Linked DNA regions of Xenopus tropicalis. The protein of the gene in region 1 interacts with the protein of each later gene in a pairwise test. Links are inferred from orthologs where the notes say so. Each region holds a gene or a part of one and is shown in the gene's direction. Other genes may lie near its edges. The genes, in order: ralbp1, tsfm, amotl2, rac1 and gse1.

Region 1 (3,514 bases):
ACACAGGAGTTTCTTTTAAACTGTTTACACCGGGAACTTCAGGCTGGAATAAAGGACCTGTCCAAAGAAGAGCGGCTCTGGGAGGTGCAGAGGATTCTGACTGCGCTGAAAAGGAAGCTCAGAGAAGCAAAAAGACAGGTGTGTAAGGTTTATAGGCTATTCCTCTCCTGCCAGTGCAGCATCTTTATAGCATGAATGCCCAAACTCCAACAATGTATTCTCTTGTGTGGGGATTGGACAAGTACCAAAATACTGGATATATGTGGCACGTGAAGAATGGGGCCATGGACTTGGCCAGCACAGCTGCACGTGTTTCACATGCTCTTTTTGTGTTCTTTCTGAGCTTTTAAAATAACTTTTAGAAGGCAATTGTAAACCATTACTTTCTTACCATTTCAATTAGGTGATTGTAGGGATGTATCTGTCATAAGATAATGTGAGACCTATTAAAGAAATTCCCACTTTCCTGTCTTCTCTTCTTCCCTCAGAAGAGGAAGCTGCTGTAGTGAGAATTCACAAAGGTCCTGGCTTGTGACAGTCAGTGGTCAGTTTTTATATAAATACAATTGTAACATTTAGCTAGACTGAGACAAACAGTGGATGGAGGAATAAAATGCATAGAAAGCATAGTTTATTTAGTTTTGTTGCAAGATCCACTTTAGGCCACACTATATTGCTAGCTATATTCCCATATTTGAACTGAGTGTGATGCCCCAGGATTGCCTCTGAACAAAATCCATAGATCTCATACCAAAACCACAGAGCTTCCAGAAGTGTAGGGGGTTCAACCCCCAGGTTGAAAATAGGTTAGTCCAGATATAAGGCTTGTAAGAGACAAACCAAAGAGCAACTGTGATGAGAACTGTGTTTCTGTAACTTTATTAAAAGCAAAAGTGCTGTCCTGCCAAATGTTGCACCTCAAAGGACCGTCTGAACCAGAAAAGTACTATACTTACAGTGCAACTTACAGTCAGGGCAGTGTTGTTGGTTATTATCTATAGAGATGTTATTATCTATAGAGCCTACAGAGCTTTGTTAAATCTATGTGCCTGCTTAGTAGAGAATCAAGGGATAGCTAAAGCAGCAGGCACTATATAGTAATTAAAAATTTAAAATGGCTTTGAAGTTATTTGTAAATGTAATGGCCATATCTATCACTTGCTGTTCTCTGCACTGATGCTTCTGACTCCTTAAACAGCATAGCAAAAGCCAGCTGCTCAACTAACATTATTTTAAGAGTCAGAAGCAGGAGCCTGCTTTGCCCAGGGCTTAAGGGGAGGCGACGGAGCCTGCAAACAAATTATGGGCCTAATATAGGCCTTTGCATGGTCAGGAGAATCAGCAGAGAACCCCTTTGTTTAAATACTGCACTCCACTTATATTGCCAAATGTGCAGACTTTTTTGGCACGATGTGCACACTGAGCGACAATTTCATTCTTTTGCCAGGACTGTGAAACAAAGATTGCACAGGAAATTGCCAGCCTCTCCAAAGAGGATGTTTCAAAAGAAGAAATGACAGAAAATGAAGAAGAGGTTCTCAATATACTACTTGCACAGGTATATGCAGCAGATGAAAGCATAGGATCAGCCGACTGGAAATTGTATTTCTCCACTGCAATATCTCAGTCATAATGTAGCGACCACCATTCACTATTTCTACATAGCAACGCTGCTAACTTGGCCTGCATAGGGTTAGCCATAAAGGGGCACCCTTAGCTATTTTGTAAAATATGTATGTATGTGGTGAATCAAGAGTCATTGCTGCCAGAACTAAGGTAGAAGGAAAAAGACAGAATATCCCGCATGAGATAGAAAGAATATATGTTTAAATCAATGGCATGCTACATTTACCATCCTTGCAGGCATAATCTGGGGATCTATACAATTTAGCAGATGAGTTCAGTTACCTTTGAATTTCAGTCTTTATTAGAAATGTAGACAGGGGACACGCAATCCGATTACAATAAAAACACTATTCCCCCAAATGTGATAAAAGGCACATAGTTTGCCCAGGTGCAGTAACCAATGGCAACCAGTAAGAGGTTTGTGTTTAACTAGGTAGCCAGTGAATGCTATGTACTATAGCTAATGTGACATTTAGCAGTCATTGCATCTTTTACATAACCCCACATAAATTTAGTGAATAGTTTTGCTAGACATTGCATCATTGTAGCAGTTCTTTTGTTATAATTAGCTTGCTATGTGTGTATGGTGTGCCTGATAATAGGTCTTCTGTATCCTATGTATGTCTAACATATTTTCCAGGAGAATGAGATTCTGACAGAGCAGGAGGAACTTGTGGCAATGGAGCAGTACCTTCGTAGACAAATTGCTACAGAAAAAGAAGAAATAGAGCGCCTCAGAGCAGAAATTTCTGAAATTCAAAGGTATTGCACACTCACACTCAGATTAGAACCAACATTTCCTGAAGTAATTTACAACTAGACTCTACACGTGCATATACATATATCAGACATAAGGTTTTTGCTTATAGATTTGGGGGAATTACGGTATACAAATACTCCTATAGGAGCAGCTAAATATTGCCTATAGGGCACATATGAACCCAGTTGTACAGTAGCCATATAACTGTATGTGATGTGCTCTTTTCATTATAGGAGCTAGTAACTAATATGTTTGAATTATGAAAGCGTTGAATAATGCCAGGAGTACCACTCTTTATTACACTAGACCGACTATTTGCATCACACCCAGCTGCACACAACAATCAACATTACTGCTATTCCAGCTGGCCATAACTGCTATATAGCTAAATACACAAATCTAGCTCATATCTAGAACTAATCTTACCTTTGATCCCAGAAAAACTTGAAATAACAGAACTGGCCAATATTTTCCAGCCGCCAACAACAACACGGTCGAAGTGAAACAGAAGAGTATTCCTCAGAGAGTGAGAGTGAAAGTGAGGATGAAGATGAACTACAATACATTTTAGAAGATCTGCAGAGGCAGAATGAAGAGCTGGAGGTAATTTGAAATGTCTATTGCTATATAATATAGCTGCTTTAACTTATTACCTACTGTGTTATAGTGCCAGCACACTGTCAGTATTTATCCCATTTCCATTGTACAGATTACCAGCCATTGATTGGTCATTGTTGCTTGCTGACCAGTCCTTAGGTGGCACTTACCCCAGTCTATTGTAATATTTGCTTATCTTCAGAGAAGATACAAGTGTTGGTGATTATCCCTGACCCTGGATTTCACATTCATTAGGAACACTGGGATACAAGCCAGGATCTCTGCTGGGTTCTTAGACTTACGTTCTGTCTCTTTCATCAGATCAAGAATAATCATTTAAACCAGGCAATTCATGAGGAAAGAGAGGCCATCATTGAGTTGCGGGTGCAGCTCCGGTTGTTACAGATGCAGCGTGTGAAATGTGAGCAGCTGCAGGAGGAAGAAGAGCTTGGGAAACACAGTGTCCGATCCCAGCTGCCGAGAGACAACCTCCCCGAAACAAAAGCCCCAAAAGATCAGCCAAAAGCATTG
Region 2 (4,260 bases), on another chromosome or scaffold:
CAGTGCATGACAACCTGTTTTGCTGGTATCCTGGGGGCCAGTCTGACACGGCCGAGTCTGAAATCTCCATAAAACTTCAGAAGACATTGGACTTTCCAAGTTTTTGTACATAAAATAATTTGTTTCTGATATATTTGTTTATGTCAAGATAAAAAATATTTTCTTTATTTTTTAGACATTTAGAAGCCTCTTGTTTCAGAAGTGAAATTACATAAAAATTCTAGCATATTTTGAAAGCTCAGGTTGTTCCCCAAAAAAACCCCAATTTATTATTTCCTGAGGTAAATTAAAAAAGTAAAAAAAAGGCGCAGAATGTTCAAAAAGAATGTTCAAAAATGGTCTGGCAATAAATGTACCCCAAGTGACCAAATCAGCTGTCAGTTGTAGGGTTAGTCGTACTGCTCTACTCCATCAATCCTGCACATACCAGCGCAGCCACCACCAGCCCCAAACATGTCACACTATGGGACTGATTTACTAAGACACGATTTCGAATCCGAATTGGAAAAATTCTGATTGGAAACGAACATTTTGCGACTTTTTCGTATTTTTTGCGATTTTTTTCGGCGTCTTTACGATTTTTGCGTAAAAACGCGAGTTTTTCAGCGTCTTTACGATTTTTGCGTAAAAACGCGAGTTTTTCGGCGTCTTTACGAAAGTTGCGCAAAGTCACTATTTTTTCGTAGCGTTAACACTTGCGTGCAAAGTCGCGCCTTTTTCGTAGCGTTAAAACTTAAAAGGCGCAACGTTTCGCGCAAGTTTTAACGCTACGAAAAAATCGCGACTTTGCGCAACTTTCGTAAAGACGCCGAAAAACTCGTGTTTTTACGCAAAAATCGTAAAGACGCCAAAAAAATCGCAAAATTACCGATCATTACGAAAAAAACGCAATCGGACGCACTCGCCGTTCGTGGGTTAGTAAATGTGCCCCTATGTATATCCTGTATATATATGTATGTATGTATGTATATCTTTATTTATAAAGCGCTACTTATGTACGCAGCGCTGTACAGTAGAATACATTAATACAAACAGGGGGTTAAAGATAATGGATAAATACAAAGTACAACAATAAATACAAATAAATACAAGGTACAGTTGCAATAAGAGTCAGAAACACAAGATGATGGAGGTCCCTGCCCCGTAGAGCTTACAATCTATATGGGAGGGGTAACTAACAGACACAAATAGGCAAATGTAGGTGCTGTAGGTCACAGTGGGTGACATTACAGTATAAGTGCCATATCAATCTATCCCCTGCAGCCCACACCTGCAGCAACCCTCCAGTAAAGCCTCTTTAGCTGAGCGCTTAGCGCCACACAATTCTACATCTACGTGACATCACAACTCTCCCGCCCACATATTAGTCACATGGTTGTGACACAACTTTTTCCTCAAATCCCCTTCGTTCTTATGCCTACACCATAATTTTAGTCCTTCACAGATGCAACTTTATTTGTTACAAGCACAGGAACAAAGGGGCACATTTGCGTCATCATATTGCGTCTTGTCATATTCAGGGAACATGGCCGCGCTGTGCAGCAGCCTGCGTGCCAAGGTGAGGAATGAGGCATTCGGACATAGCGGCTGTTGCCTGGGCAGACAGGCAGAATGATTGTAGCGGTGACTGGTAGTGAAAGACAAATGCTTATGTGCTAACATCTCCTCTGTGTTGGTGTGTTGTTAGTTGTTGTGGCGGCAGCAGGTTGGACTGTTACACACAGGCGTGAGGCTACTGGCAGCAGACAAGGAGCTCCTGGTGAAACTCAGGAAGAGGACGGGCTACTCGTTTATCAACTGCAAGAAGGCTCTGGAACAATTTAGCAATGATTTTAAACAAGTAAGAGGTTAAAATGAAAGAATTGTGATTGTAGAAGTATGCTTCCCTCATGAACTGTGTGGGGAGTACCAGGTGCCAGCCTGCCTGTGCCCAGCCATGTTATATTCGCTGCTTATCAGGGAATGTCATAAAATAGGGAAACATTTCCAGGTTTAGTCACCTGTAAATCTACAGCAGAACCTTCTTCTGTTAGCTGTACCTCTTTGATGGAAGAATATCAACAGCGATACTTGTCACACATCTATTTGATATGTGCACACACTCGTTCTTCTCATATTCATTTTGTTTTGACAGGCAGAGACGTGGCTGCACCAACAAGCTCAGAAAGAAGGCTGGGACAAGGCTTCCAAACTTCAAGGAAGAAAAACTACAGAAGGTCTTGTGGGGCTGCTGCAAGATGGCAACACATCTGTGATGGTGGAAGTGAGTGTCTCTCACTGCAAAAGTCTAAGGGATTGGGTTAAATAATCTGGAGAATGCAGAGGGAACGTCTGAATTTTTAGTTAGCTTTTAAGTTAACCCCTTCCAGAATGTCAGGAAAAGTTTCCATGGGCAAATGTTTTTTCTCATGTGTACAAGCATGACGAGGGGAATAGTGTTACAGTTATTTGCAATTAAAAAGGCACCTGTTTGCCTATCTATTCTTTGAATTGCTACTCCTGGCTCTTGAAACAATGCGGCAGAAGCCAAATGTCTTACAGCCAAGTCTCCAGTTCCAACAATGGCTTTCTTACGTGTTCACTGGGGTTTTTAATGACAGATCATGCAAAGCATTGTGGGAACTGGAGTCCTGCTAGAAGAACTGGCATCTGCTGCATTGTAAGAGGCAGGAGTAGTAGTAGTAGTTCATAAATTAATTTTGCGATAGCATTTATTTAAATGCCTGTAATGCTCATATTTTAGTTGCTCTATTGAAGAAACCTTATCTATAAAAATGGTGGCTTCATAACAAATATTCTTTCAGGTTAACTGCGAAACTGACTTTGTTGCCAGGAATTCAAAGTTTCAGCAGCTAGTTCAGCAGGTGGCTGTGAGCACTCTGAGGCATTGCCAGAGTCATCAGGAGAACATGTCTTCTTATGTAAAGGTTAGTATTTAGATCTCTACTTCATACTACCAACTTAGTACCAACTGCCAACTGCCTTGGAAGTGCTAGAAAATAGGGCTTCTGCATTCAGTAACCACAGTTATAAATATGGTAATATCATCAGTCTTTTTATATTAGACATATAATTCAAGGGAATTCATAAAATGAAATTCACTCTGTTAAACACAGTGTTTTCTTAATATTTTCAGTCTTTTTCACGCTGCTATTGTCTACTTTACTGTAAATATATGTCTTTCTCTTGGTTTTATCTAAGGGTTTTCTAAGCGGTGAAGAACTCTTACAAATGAAAGCTGAGGAGTCATTATTAAAAGATCAACTTGCTTTGGCAATAGGTAAAGTTTCTCCTGATTTTATAGTGTGTAACTGCTTTATCTGTTTAGAATGCACTTCCTTGAATAAACAAAGTCATGGCAACATAGGAAATGGCATTTTGTCGATTTCTTATTATAGTAAAAGGGACATAATACACCCAAAAGCACCTTAGCTAAAAATGAGCACATTGAATGTGTTTAATCTCTGTAAAATGCTGCAAAATATGGCACTTTAGAAAGAAAAATAATATTTTAAGCATGATGATATAGCTCATGTGCCATGTAGCCAACCATTTCCATCTATTAAACCTATAAGGTGACCGTGACCAGTTTTTTCTGTGACTTACATTCTGTTACTTTACATAAATCTGAGTATCTATTCTGTCTATCCAATAACTGCTGATATTTGTAGTTTTTGTATCTTCTTGTCAGTTGTAATAATGCATCATATAAAAATAGCATATCCTTTTATTAATTCTATTTTCTTCTAATCATGCTTGTTCCATGAAGGGAAGTTAGGTGAAAATATGACTATGAAGAGAGCTGCTTGGGTGAAGACTCCCTCTGATATCTTCATAGGCTCTTATATGCATGGCATTCTTGTAGCAGATGTACCATCCCTATCTAATATCACATTTGGAAAATATGGAGCTCTAGTGATATGCAAAGATTCCGACAGTAACCCTAAGAGCAACATATCTGAAGTTGGACGCAGATTGGGCCAGCATGTTGTGGGAATGAACCCTCTGTCGGTAGGTTCCCTTGAGGATGAATCTAGTGGGGAGACAGAGACAAAGATGCTGGCACAGTCCTTTCTTCTGGAGCCCAGTCTAACCGTGGGGCAGTATTTGCAGCCACGAGGAATAAATGTGCTGGACTTTATACGCTTTGAGTGTGGGGAAGTAGCAGAATCAACAGAATCTAGTCATACTTAACACTTGGACATTCCTTGTTGAGCCTTAAGTATAAATAAGTATAAAATAAATACCATTTTCTTTGTT
Region 3 (4,158 bases), on another chromosome or scaffold:
AGCACTTAGCTGCAATGTGTTCAGTCTGGGCATACCAGTTATAGCCGTAGAGATAATTGTGGAAAGGTCTGCCATAAACTATGACCTACTGTCATTTATTTTCATCAAAGGGAAACAGATCAGCCCCTTGACGGACAGTAAAGAAGCCCTTCCTGGCCAAGCAGAAAGTGGCTTTTTTTATGTTACAACAGGCTATTTTCTCAGTTGTAAGCTAGGTTCCATGCCAACGAGCACCATAGATCTGTAGCCACTGATATGAGACAATGGCTTAATTGGAATAGCAAGCTGTATAGCCAGTGAATACAATAGCACCTCCTGCGTATAGCATTCTTACCCAACTCTGCTCGGGGTCCGCGGGCATTATCTATTTCTAACAGAGAGTATATGTGCCTGAATATCTGCCAAAATAAAATGTGTAGTGGCTGGCTATGCTTAACGAGGGAATAGTATCAATTTCTGATTCATTTTGATTTTCACCACAATTCAGCATTGTACCCCAGAGTATCACCCAGGGGCATTGCAGAACCCAGTACCACTCAGCGGCCTAGTTGATATGACCCCCACACTTTTAGTTTTTTGCATCGGAGCAGGTCAGGGGGGGATGCATTTCTCTAGCAAATCTGAAATTCCTATTTAAAAATTAGAATATTTGCTCTTGAAGATATACTGGGGGGGGGGGGGGCAAAAATATTTAGTTTTTTGGGTCTGAGCAGGTCAGGGGGGATGCATTTCTCTAGCAGAGCTGCAATTCCTATTTAAAAATTAGAATGTTTGAATGAAGATATATCAGGGGAGGGGGCACAATAGTAACTTGTAGTGTGCAGCTGCCTGAGGTAAATTTCCCAACTGCCCTTATGGCAGCAGCGCCACAACTGCACTGTAATTGTGGGGCAATATTAAATGGTGCCACTTCTGGTGTCATTAAACAGAATCATGGTAAAATTGGCTTGGAGCAAAGTCAGTTGTGTCCATGGAAGCAAGGGGGGGACCAGGAATTACCACAAGCTCTATTTAAAAAAATCTGATCTCTAAGTCTGAAAGATGTACCCAGGCGGTATTCTCGTTTGATGTACAGTTATTATGAGCTTCCGTGCCTGTTATTGTAAGGCAGTGCGGACAGCACAATTAGGCGCCTCATAATTAGCCGCCATTATACAGAAACATGTAATAACAACAGTAATGCGTGCTCTCTGCTAGCGGCTCCAACGCGGGGAGATCTTCCGCCCCCAGCGGCCGCTCACTGGAGTGCAGCCCGGAGGGAAAGTATGAGAGGAGGCGGGCAGAATGCTGAGTGGAGGAGGGAGGGAGAAAGGTTATGTGTGGTTATAGCTTTATCCCAGGGGGAGCCTGAAACTCTCACATTCCGCGCATAGCAAAGCTATTGAAGCACTAGAGCGGCGTGAGTGCTGCGGGATCAGTCTGCTCAGCGCTCTCAGGCAGCACACAGCTCACTGCGCACAGGGAAAGTACGGGCACAGTCGCACCGACACAGTCGCACCGAGAGCCCAGTCTGCTGCGCACACACTGGCTATGCTCGGGTGAGTACGCTCTTTCCTACACTCTGCCCTGCGCTTGCTTTTACCTTTATTTTCTGTTTTTATTTGCGCACTGTATGTACATATCGTACCCCCGGCGCATTACTGCGGTCTGTGAGTCACATGTCTCGCAAGCAGCTAGAATAAGGACAGTTGTTTATTATACATGGGTACCATTGCTACACAGTCTTTCATTAAGCTGGTGTCCCGCAGAACTTGCAATCTAAAAGCTGCTGCTCTAGAATGAATAGAAATACTTCTTGTGTATGTCTGTCTGTATTTATATTCAGTTTCTTGTATATGCAATAATGCTCAATGTAGATAATGTATAATGTTTGTGTTGGTACCTGAGCAACTCCCAGCACCCACAGCTTTAGTCTATGTGCAAACTGTTGTGTTTCTATATATGTATGCATGTGTATATACCGTATGTCTTTGTCTCTATAGACTTATCTATAGAATAAAAGCCCCCAATGACTGGTCATTTGTCACAATGGTATTTATGTAGGGTGCTGTTGGTGCCTGAGAAATTCTGGGGGCCTGTGATGCCTGAGTATTGTATATTCCTTGTGTACAAAGTGTCATCTAAGGGACAACATTTATGTCATTTTAAAGGAGACAAAGGGGGGATTAGCAGGTGTTTTGCCACCTTAGCCATGGCAGCAGCAATCCACCAACTATATTCTATTCTTATTATGATTCTTGTTTTTAGAACGGGCCTGTGTGGGGTAGAGGGAAGGCTGCAATTCACAAAGAATGTCAATTGCAACACAAAGAAGCCAGTGATGTCACTTCTTAGCTATGCTAAAGGTGCTCTCGCCTCCTACGTGCTGGAAAATATTTTCCCGTAAGAGACAAGGGAACGTTCAGGTTTGGCCCTATGTACATACCTATATATATATATAAATATATATATATATATATATATATATATATATATAAATATATTTTAGAAGTTTTAGTGAAAGGGGGAATTTGTTGTGATGGCTATTTATACTAAATCTGCTACAAGGAGTGTTTAACAGCATTAAAAGATTCTTACATGCCGTATTTTTGTTGGTTAGGGATGGAATCCCAGTATTTATTTTCTTTGCTATGGAGGCCTGAAACTAAATAAATACTGGCACTGTTTTTGGTTGTTCAACTTCAACTAGGAAATGTGGAATTCAAGGGGAGGGCTATAAGGCAGAGGCAGCAGGGGGGCATACCATAGATACAGTGGGCTTTATCTACATAGAAAGGGAGGTGTGTGTATATGTGTGGACAGGAGGGGGGGGATTAGTAAAGGGAGGAAATTCCATTCCTCTGATATCCATCACCTCCAAAAAAACAAGCAGTTAATTGCCTAAAAATCAGCAGCTTACAAGTCAATGAAGCTCTATTTCTTAGCAAAGTAAGTAGAACGTGTGTATGTTGTATTGGAAAATCCAGTTAGAATCCTCCAGGGTTCTTTGTTCCTTTGTGAACATGACTTTTAAGCATTGTGAACATTGACTTGATGTTATGATGAGACATAAAACCATCACTGTCACATCCTTCTTGTGTTATTTGGAAGAATTTTGTCTTAAAACATATATTTTTTTCTTGTTCCACAGGCTCTCCCCAACAGTCGAATAGGATTATAATCCATTACTTATATTTTCCACTTGACTGAGGATTTATTTACTTGTTAAGGATGAGAACAGCCGAGGATTCCTCTGGAACGGTTCTACACCGTCTCATTCAGGAGCAACTAAGATATGGGAATCTTAGTGATAACCGTACATTGTTGGCTATCCAGGAGCAGGCTCTGCGGGCTGGAGGTGGCAGTGGAAGTCCCAGATCATCCCTAGAAAGTCTTGAACAGGAAGAGATTCAAATGGCTCCTTCAGCAAGGCAAGAACCCCAAGGCCAGGAGTATCATTGTGACTATTTCTACTTGGAAAACCCCATGTATAAGGCTCATGAATTTCAACACAAAGGCGAGGAATTGCCAACTTATGAAGAAGCCAAAGCGGCACTCTCACAGTACTATGCAGCCCAGAACACCCAGCCAGTGGAACATGGTGGTCATCGGCAAGACCAATCCCTTAAGGATTTGAAACATGGCCATGTCAGGTCCTTAAGTGAACGTCTGCTGCAGATGTCTTTGGAGCGAAATGGTGCCAAGCCTCAAAACCTTATGAGCTCCTCTCATAGCTTCCCACAGCTTTCAAGGCATTACCAGCTATCGGTGGCTCGTGAGCAACAGGAAGATAGGGGACAGTATAGGGGTGCTCCTCCGGAGTACCCTCATTTTAATCAACCAGTACAGGACATACGAGGATACACAACAGAACAAAGGCATTATTCTGGGGAACTGCCTGTATATCACCAGTCTGAAGTCAGGTGAGCACAGACTTCTAACCATACTATGCAAACATCTTCACGATGTAGATGGAATATCTCTACTGTAGGATTGCATTTAAAGTTTACCCTTTAAAACATCTGTCAACTGGAGCATGTTTATTTATAATGGCATGTTGGCTGTAGATCAATATTATGGAATTCCAGCCATCCAGTAGTTATTGTCCACTGGCCAGCCACAGTATTGTAAAGAGTGCGCAAATACGTAATTTATGTACGTAGAGAAGTATTTGTTTTT
Region 4 (3,514 bases), on another chromosome or scaffold:
GCCCCCCGCCATTGTATAGCCTGTTGCATATAGCACCTGGCAACACAAGCTTCAGAGTAAGAGTCGTCACCAACAGTGCATCAGTCACTTGGTCTTTTTCCAATACACCTTTATAGGTTATTGGGTTGTCTGCATGTCAAATGAACAGCAAAGTGTTATATTTTATGAAGCAACTGAATAATCAATGTTTTCTTTTTTCCTATAGGGCTGTAGGTAAAACATGTTTGCTGATCAGTTACACTACCAATGCTTTTCCTGGGGAATATATCCCAACTGTGTAAGTATTCCGTTCTAATACCTTATTTCAAATCCATGCCTCTGTTTATTTAAATAATGTTTTCCTTTTGCTGGGTGGTTATTTTCTGCCTTGGTAGCATGTCATATCTTGTATTTAACAGTTTTCACTGTCGGCTAGGAAACATTGGTATGTAAGGCCGTTAAAAGATGGTGCAACCAGCATGACCAAACAGATGCTTGCTCCTTTAACTGCATTTGATTTGGGTAATGAGAAATTACTGAATAAAGGCACGTGTACAGGCCTGACATTAGAAGTCACCCCATCCCTAATTTCTCCCCTCATCCATTACTTAAAGTGGTTGTTCACCTTTGACTTAACTTTTAGAGTGATGTAGAGAGTTATATTCAAAGACAATTTACAATGGCTGTACAATTGCAGTTTGCCGTTCAGCAGCTGTCTGGTTGCTAGCGTCCAAATTACCTTAGCAACCAGGAAGGGGTTTGTATGAGAGGCTGATATATGAATTGGATAGGGCTTGAACATAAAAATAAATACAGGTATAGGATCTGTTATCCAGAAAGTTCTGCATTATGGAAAGGCCATCTCACTTAATTTCTAAAAATTGATTTTCCTTTTTCTCTGTAATATTAAAATAGAACCTTGTACTTGATCCAAACTAAGGTATACTTAATCCTTATTGGAGGCAAAACAATCCTATTGGGTTTATTAAATGTTTAAATAATTTTATTAGCAGACTTAAGGTAGGAGATCAAAACTACGGAAAGATCCCTTGTCCAGAAAACCCCAGGTCCCGAGCATTCTGGATAACAGATCCCATACCTGTTATAAAAAGTAACAATGAAATTGTGTTCTCACAGAGCAATAGTATTTTGCCTGCTGGAGTTACTGAAAGCTGCAAAGAGAAGAAGAAAGCAAATACTTCAAATGCTATTAAAGAAAAATAATGAAGACTAATTGGAAAGTTGTTTTTGGCCATTCTACAACATACTAAGTGCTATCTTAATGGTTACCCGGCCCTTTAAAAGTGGGTCTAGCTTTGTATCTGCTCTTGGACCACTTTGGTATATAGCCCATAATGGTGAATGTGTTAACGGACAACCAAAACATTTTAATTACCCTGCAGGAACTGTGTACATCTAGCTTTGCCCTTTGTGTCAATTGTTTTAGATGCATATGCTTGTTGTTAAAGGGGTTACAATATTCATATATTACCAGTTTAAGCATAAATAACGCAGTGCCAATTTGAGGCTTGGTGCCCTCCTTGTAGCCCGGTGCAGTGGAAGGCTCTGACATGAACATGCAGGCAGAATTCCCTGACTCTGGGAGTCTCTGGGCCCTGACTCATTAGTTGTGTGGGTGGCTCTAAAATTATCAGCATTTGCATCTCAGAGATGTCCTTGCTATCTGCACACTGCTTGCAAAACTTCTCCGCGCACAGGCACCCCCCCCCTGCAGCATATTCTTGTTTCTTTCATATTTTGTAAATGTTTTACCCCAATAAAGCTCCGTAAGGAATAGCAGCACAATGCTACATGATTGCTTTCAGACCACAGGGTAATGTTCTTCCAGGCTTAGTTACTACTTAGCTGTGCCTGGAAATGGAATTTCCATAAAGGAGAAGATGGACTTTACAGTAACTTCTAGTTACTAGAGCAAAATTATTAGCATTATTTATCTTTCTTTATTTTGTAAGGTGTTAGATTTATAAGCCTTTCTGTACTAGACTGCGATTGGTTGGGCTCACTGTAGCGAGTCTGGTACACTCGCGCACACACACAAACACTGCACGGTTTATTTTATTATTATTATTTATTAACAAGTCAGTGCTTATTGACAGACAGATGGAGTTATTTGTCGGCTATGGATGATTTGGGGTAATTACAGGAAAATATGAAAGAAGGGATTTTGACCAAATTACATAGAATCACTGCTTTATATGCGCTGATCCCAATTGTTCTTGGATACTAAAGGTGGCCATACACGAGCAGATCCGCTCGCTTGGTGATGTCGCCAAGTGAGCGGATCTTCACCCGATATCCCCACCTACGGGTGGGCGATATCGGGGAGGATTTAGGTAAAAAAAATAATAATCCGATCGTTTGGCCCTGGGGCCAAACGATCGGATTATGTGGGCAGCAATGGGGCAGTCGGCTCGGGGACCGCATCAACGAGCCGATGCGGTCCCCGATCCGACCGGATTTTCTAACCTGCCCGATCAATATCTGGCCAATTTCAGGCCAGATATCGGTCGGCCAGGCTGCTCTACTCTCTCCATACACGGGCCGATTAGCTGTCGAATCGGTCCAAGGGACCGATATCGGCAGCTATAGTTGGCCCGTGTATGGGGACCTTAAGGTAAACTAGGCCCTATGCCTATGTCATAATAAAAGTTAACGGTGAACAACCAGTTTGAATGGATTTTTTTGGATGCTTTGTCACTTATGGGAGAGGCGGTTACCAGTGGGACGCTGACTGCTATGTCATTGCCCTAAGCCATCTGCATATGGCTTCATAAAATAGTTGCAATTAATTTCGTAGAAAAATATTGAACTGTTTTTGTGGCGATTCAGTGTCAAAAGTCTCCAGGTTTGGGATTATTCCTGGGGCCTGTGATGTCTCCAAAATGCTTCAAATTCTTCAGGGGTTGGTGGGTGAAAGGGAGTATCTTAAAGACCTTTTTATTTACTTTAAAGAGGCTACTGTCAGTCATAAACAAAGCCATAAAAGGTTTTGGCTGTAGGTGTATAGCTGCTCCGTATCTGTTCCTAGTTCCTAGCCGGTCACCCTGTCTGAATTATATTATAGGGATCAAACGGTTAAGTAGCATTAATCATTCCCTTCCCTTATATAGCAGTTCAGCATGAGGGCTTTGCTTATGGGCTTTTTCTTCTCCTTATTTCAGTTCCTGGGATACTTGACTACCCTCATTTTATATAACAAACTCCACCCATGGACTGCAGGGTCTGATAGTTGGATAATCTGAACTTTGTTCTTGTAGTTTTCTAAGCCCAGCAAATGCCTTTCCTGTGGGCTATTTTTTAGCTTCCTTGTTCCGTTTATAGCTGACAGTCGTTTCTGTTGTACTGTTTACCTACCTGTGATCCAAGGAAATAAACAAGGAGAAACTGCCTTTGTTCTGCCTGTTTAGACATGACGAGAGACTGTAACTTTCTTGTGTTACTGCTCATATAAAAACCTTGCTTTCCTTTCTCCATTTTAGTTTCGACAACTATTCTGCCAATGTTATGGTGGATG
Region 5 (4,150 bases), on another chromosome or scaffold:
GCCTCCCTTGACATTTTCCAGCAATTAATTTAGATTGCCGCAAGTAATTTGTTTTACTAGCAAGCATCTTAATGTTATGTTATGGCAAATTATTTTTGGGAGACTTCAATTTAATTAAAGGGCAAATGGAGCATCTGCCCAGGGCTCACAGTTGTATTATGCCTAATAATGCCTTATGCCTTTATCTGGGGCCTTGGCATGTCTGATATTGTTCTTTGCTGGAATCTTGGGTGAAGATTTGGAATTGGGGACAAATCTGATATGCCATTTTTTTTCTGGTGACCCAATTACTCTCAATGTAAAAAGCATAAATTGCTTTGGAAATATTTTTTCGTTTTCCTTTAATGTTAGGGCACACGGTGCGGATATCTGCTTCTATCAGCCCTATGTTTTTTAGCCAACTTTAGAGAAGCAGATCCGCTTGCCTATGCTCCTTTGTGTGCCTGAATAAAAAACTACGGCGACTGCCGTGTGGGCACACATAGCGGAGTGGATTGGACCTTGAAAACATCTGCATATTGTGTGAGTGTAACTGTAATTGTATGGTGATGGTACTGGAGGATGAGTTTGCACAGGATGATGGGAATCGCCAATTGGATCTTTGCCCAATTCCCACCAAGGCCTTAAATCTGCCCTGCTACTAGGCCATTCTTTAGCTGCAGGGTCTGAAATCTGCAGAAGAAATGGATATGCCCAATATATACTGTAGCCAAAGGCAGGGCCATGCAACACTGTACAGTGTGTTCTATAGTCTCCATCCATCTATCAATTATACCTCTCAGGTATTGTGGAAGTTGAAGTTTAAGGATAGCTGGATAAAAACTAGCTGAAGAAATTTAACAGGAAACAGTTAAGCAAGGGGAAATGGCCCTGGTGGAGTTCCCAGGAGGTAGAGGGGGTCTAACTGGGACATTAACTAAACAGTTTCAGTATATATTATTAAAAATCAAAATGTCTTATTTACAAGTTTAGGGGAGTGGGCACTAAATTGAACTTGCCATGAGGCACAATAACATTGGGTCCAGTGGTTAAGAAGAAGGTATTGGTACAGTGCAATGGTATGGTAACAAATAGGGACTACCCTTACAGTATTACTGGTATGTCTCCCCTGCAGCCCTCTAGGAGTTGCAGTTAAACAACAGCTGGAAGGCAGTATGATGGACATTCCTGCTAGATAGCCCGGCATGTTCCTACTGTCCCCCACGCTGCGGCACTGGAGGGGTTACACATCGAGCCAGGCCATGTGCTCTGCCAGGGGGCGGTGCTGGGGGGCTGATCCCATGTACTGCGCAGCCCACAGCGGGCTTACAGATTCTGGGGAACTGAGTGTCAGAAGCCCAAGTGGGGGCGGGTCGCTATCTATCCGGGTCACCTCACCCCCTCTCACCCCTTACCCATTGGAGAAACTTTGCACAAACTCCGCCGTGCTTTGGACTTGAGGGGGGGGGAATCCGCTGCCCCGGGTGGCATGAGACTGGCAGCGGGGGGCTTGGCACAGAGGGCATGAGTGATACCGGATCCGTCCCGATGTCCCGTAAGCAACGATTAATGGCAGCTTTGGAGGAAGATGAAGGCACGACGCCTGGAACGGGTGAGCAGACGGGACTGGTTTTTTGCTTTATCTGCGGAGGAGGGGTGCCCAGGGGGCGAGAGGTGAGGTTGCCCGTCCGGTGTCCTGCTCGGGAAGGTTGCGCATTTTTCCCGTTCCTACAGCAGCAGGAGCCGGCCCCTGGGGCAGAACCGCTGAGCCCGGGGGGGTGCGTCCGAGTGTGTGCCGTGTGCCAGCGCTTCTTGGCCGCTCAGTGGGACGCGTTTGAGCGCAGCCGGACACCGCTGGAGAAGCGCATGTACTGGCTCAAGCGGCCCTACCAGTGCGGCGGGGACGGAGCTCGAAATAACCCCAGGGACTGGAACCCCAATTACGACTCTGACCTCTCAGACCTGTCCGACAATCCTCTAAGTGAGCCCGAAGAGAGCGGGGAAGCCCGGCCGGAACCCACACAGGGAAACAGGAGACAGTGGGCATCCACGGTACCTAGCTTGGCACCCCAACACTGCGCCCCCTGCCGGGAATCTCCTAATGACAGAGCTAGGCGCTTGGGATCAGAGACTGACCACCAGACCCACGGGAGAGAGAACGGACACCTTCCTGGGCTCTGTTACATTTGTGGGGGGCACAGCGCCGGGCACACTATACACGTACAAAAACAAGAACACACGCCTGAAACGCCCTTCTTCCCTTTCCTTTGGCTCCACACGCCTCCGCCCGGTGCGCAAGCCATTACACCTGGGGGCAGTGCCCGTGCCTGTACGCGCTGCTTCTCCTCCCTGATGCAGCAGTGGCACAGCTTTGACGTTGCCAGTGTACCTGTTTTACAGCGACTGTATGTGGTGCCTCTTCATGCCAACAGTACCCCAGAAAAAGCAGCTCCTCAGAGACCAGTGGAATCTCACCCCAGTGCGCCAGTCCTGTGCTACCTGTGTGGGGAGGACTGCGCCAACCAGGTGAAACTGGTGCAATCCCGGATAACAAATGGCAATGCCAAAACAAATATGCATTTTCCTTTCATTGGCCAGTTGCCCTGCCCACCTAGCTCCAGGGGGGTTAACCAACAAGGGGAGATACAAAGTTGCAGAAAATGCTACGGGGTGTTGGAAGACATATGGTCTATCTATAGGGCATCCCAGAATGAGGAGCTCATCAACTCTGCACAAAGCTTTTTGGCAAGGTACCATCAGGTGTTCAACTCTTCAGATCCTGGTTGTTCAGGGGTGTCTCATAACAGGAGGGGAGAAGCCATAAGTAGCCACACTGGCCATACATCTATATGCTATGTATGTGGAGCAGAGCTGGGGCCAGGTTTGGAGTATCAAGTAAGCATAAACCCACCCAGTAGGTATGGAGACAAGGAGCCCTTCTTTCCTTTTTTAACAGTCTACCCTCCTGCACCTAGAGCTAGGCCTGCCGACTCTACTGGTCTTGTTTCCACCTGTGGTCTTTGCTACCACGACCTTCTCGGACAGTGGTTTCAGCAGGAGATGAAGTCACAACAACCTAGCAGTCCCTGGTCAAGACAGTATCAAGTGGAGACTTTTGTCTGCTTCTTTTGTAGACAGGAGAAAAAGAGAATGCTAGGATTAAAGGCTGTGCAGGTGGCTAGGTTGCCTATCTTTTTATTTGCCCCAAGGATGGCCAACACTTTATTAGTGGATGATGGGAAACAACTTCTTATTGGAGCTTGTATTGAATGCAGACCACTGGCGTTAGCTGGCATCAGTACAACACAGAGCGGGGCTATGGTACCAAGCCAGAAGGTAAGAAGCTCTCTATTGATAATTCAATACCACTCCATTCATTTATTCGACAGTCAGAAATGGATGTATAGGTGTGTTAGATTTACAGTAGAGAAGTGAAATGCTTCTGAAGGATAGGAGTCACTGTAAGCTGGGGAAGCCAACATACTATATACAACCTTTTTCACTTATTGGTGATGTCAAGAGGTAATGCTTTTTTATGAAGCCTAATCTATGTGAATACGTTTATAAGATTACTTACTGTATAAGAAAATTGTGTTGCTGAATGTAGGACACATATCTTAGACTCATTTTGACTGGGATAAGGTAACAGCACCTTTTGAATTTTGTTGCTGTGGGCCCTTACTGTAACAGTTATATAAATTGGTCACCTGTTTTTGGTGCTGAAGGTTTTATGTTTGAGAAAAATTAAACCATTCATTTAGCAGTAGACTTATTGAGAAACCAACCTTTTTTCTGTCATTGTGAGACTCAGTTGAAGACTGCAATACTTACACCATGCAGTCTTTAAAAGAGAAGTGTTATATTATACATAAGTTTAATGCAACTCAAAGTACAGGTAGTTGAAGCTGCTCACCTAAGCATTTCTGTAGTGACAACCAAGGCAGCAATCTGAAAACTGTTAAGTGACAATACAAAAATTAATGGATTATTGTTACATTTGTTTGGGGCACCACTCCTGGATTCATCTTTGCAGCAGCAGAACAGCCATTGGTTAGTTCTAATGATAGATCACCATTATAATGACAGTTCTGCCAAAAATCAATTTTCACAATTACTGATTTGGAAGTGTTTCCCCATATTGCCATAAATATAAAATTCATTAAAGGGGACC

The links.
Region 2: the proteins of ralbp1 (region 1) and tsfm interact in binary tests that used the Homo sapiens proteins (3 or more experiments, as listed by UniProt). The two-hybrid records come from large-scale screens. The link is inferred for Xenopus tropicalis from reciprocal best matches to the Homo sapiens genes RALBP1 and TSFM.
Region 3: the proteins of ralbp1 (region 1) and amotl2 interact in binary tests that used the Homo sapiens proteins (3 or more experiments, as listed by UniProt). The two-hybrid records come from large-scale screens. The link is inferred for Xenopus tropicalis from reciprocal best matches to the Homo sapiens genes RALBP1 and AMOTL2.
Region 4: the proteins of ralbp1 (region 1) and rac1 interact in a two-hybrid assay, tested with the Homo sapiens proteins (2 studies listed by BioGRID, with this or other methods). The link is inferred for Xenopus tropicalis from reciprocal best matches to the Homo sapiens genes RALBP1 and RAC1.
Region 5: the proteins of ralbp1 (region 1) and gse1 interact in binary tests that used the Homo sapiens proteins (3 or more experiments, as listed by UniProt). The link is inferred for Xenopus tropicalis from reciprocal best matches to the Homo sapiens genes RALBP1 and GSE1.

Annotation. Positions count from the first base shown.
Region 1 is NC_030682.2:104,600,312-104,603,825, forward strand, and holds part of ralbp1 (ralA-binding protein 1), read left to right. Parts: intron 1-6; coding exon 7-138; intron 139-1,447; coding exon 1,448-1,558; intron 1,559-2,266; coding exon 2,267-2,388; intron 2,389-2,862; coding exon 2,863-2,989; intron 2,990-3,238; coding exon 3,239-3,514. UniProt on the Homo sapiens protein: Multifunctional protein that functions as a downstream effector of RALA and RALB. As a GTPase-activating protein/GAP can inactivate CDC42 and RAC1 by stimulating their GTPase activity.
Region 2 is NC_030678.2:141,927,014-141,931,273, forward strand, and holds the start of tsfm (elongation factor Ts, mitochondrial), read left to right. Parts: upstream 1-1,450; 5' UTR 1,451-1,525; coding exon 1,526-1,558; intron 1,559-1,687; coding exon 1,688-1,840; intron 1,841-2,134; coding exon 2,135-2,263; intron 2,264-2,804; coding exon 2,805-2,927; intron 2,928-3,201; coding exon 3,202-3,280; intron 3,281-3,769; coding exon 3,770-4,194; 3' UTR 4,195-4,260. UniProt on the Homo sapiens protein: Associates with the EF-Tu.GDP complex and induces the exchange of GDP to GTP. It remains bound to the aminoacyl-tRNA.EF-Tu.GTP complex up to the GTP hydrolysis stage on the ribosome.
Region 3 is NC_030681.2:130,254,001-130,258,158, reverse strand, and holds the start of amotl2 (angiomotin-like protein 2), read left to right. Parts: upstream 1-1,350; 5' UTR 1,351-1,538; intron 1,539-2,845; exon of another isoform or gene 2,846-2,928; intron 2,929-3,130; 5' UTR 3,131-3,210; coding exon 3,211-3,902; intron 3,903-4,158. UniProt on the Homo sapiens protein: Regulates the translocation of phosphorylated SRC to peripheral cell-matrix adhesion sites. Required for proper architecture of actin filaments.
Region 4 is NC_030685.2:25,465,029-25,468,542, forward strand, and holds part of rac1 (ras-related C3 botulinum toxin substrate 1), read left to right. Parts: intron 1-205; coding exon 206-277; intron 278-3,479; coding exon 3,480-3,514. UniProt on the Homo sapiens protein: Plasma membrane-associated small GTPase which cycles between active GTP-bound and inactive GDP-bound states.
Region 5 is NC_030680.2:65,182,512-65,186,661, reverse strand, and holds the start of gse1 (genetic suppressor element 1), read left to right. Parts: upstream 1-1,346; 5' UTR 1,347-1,503; coding exon 1,504-3,315; intron 3,316-4,150.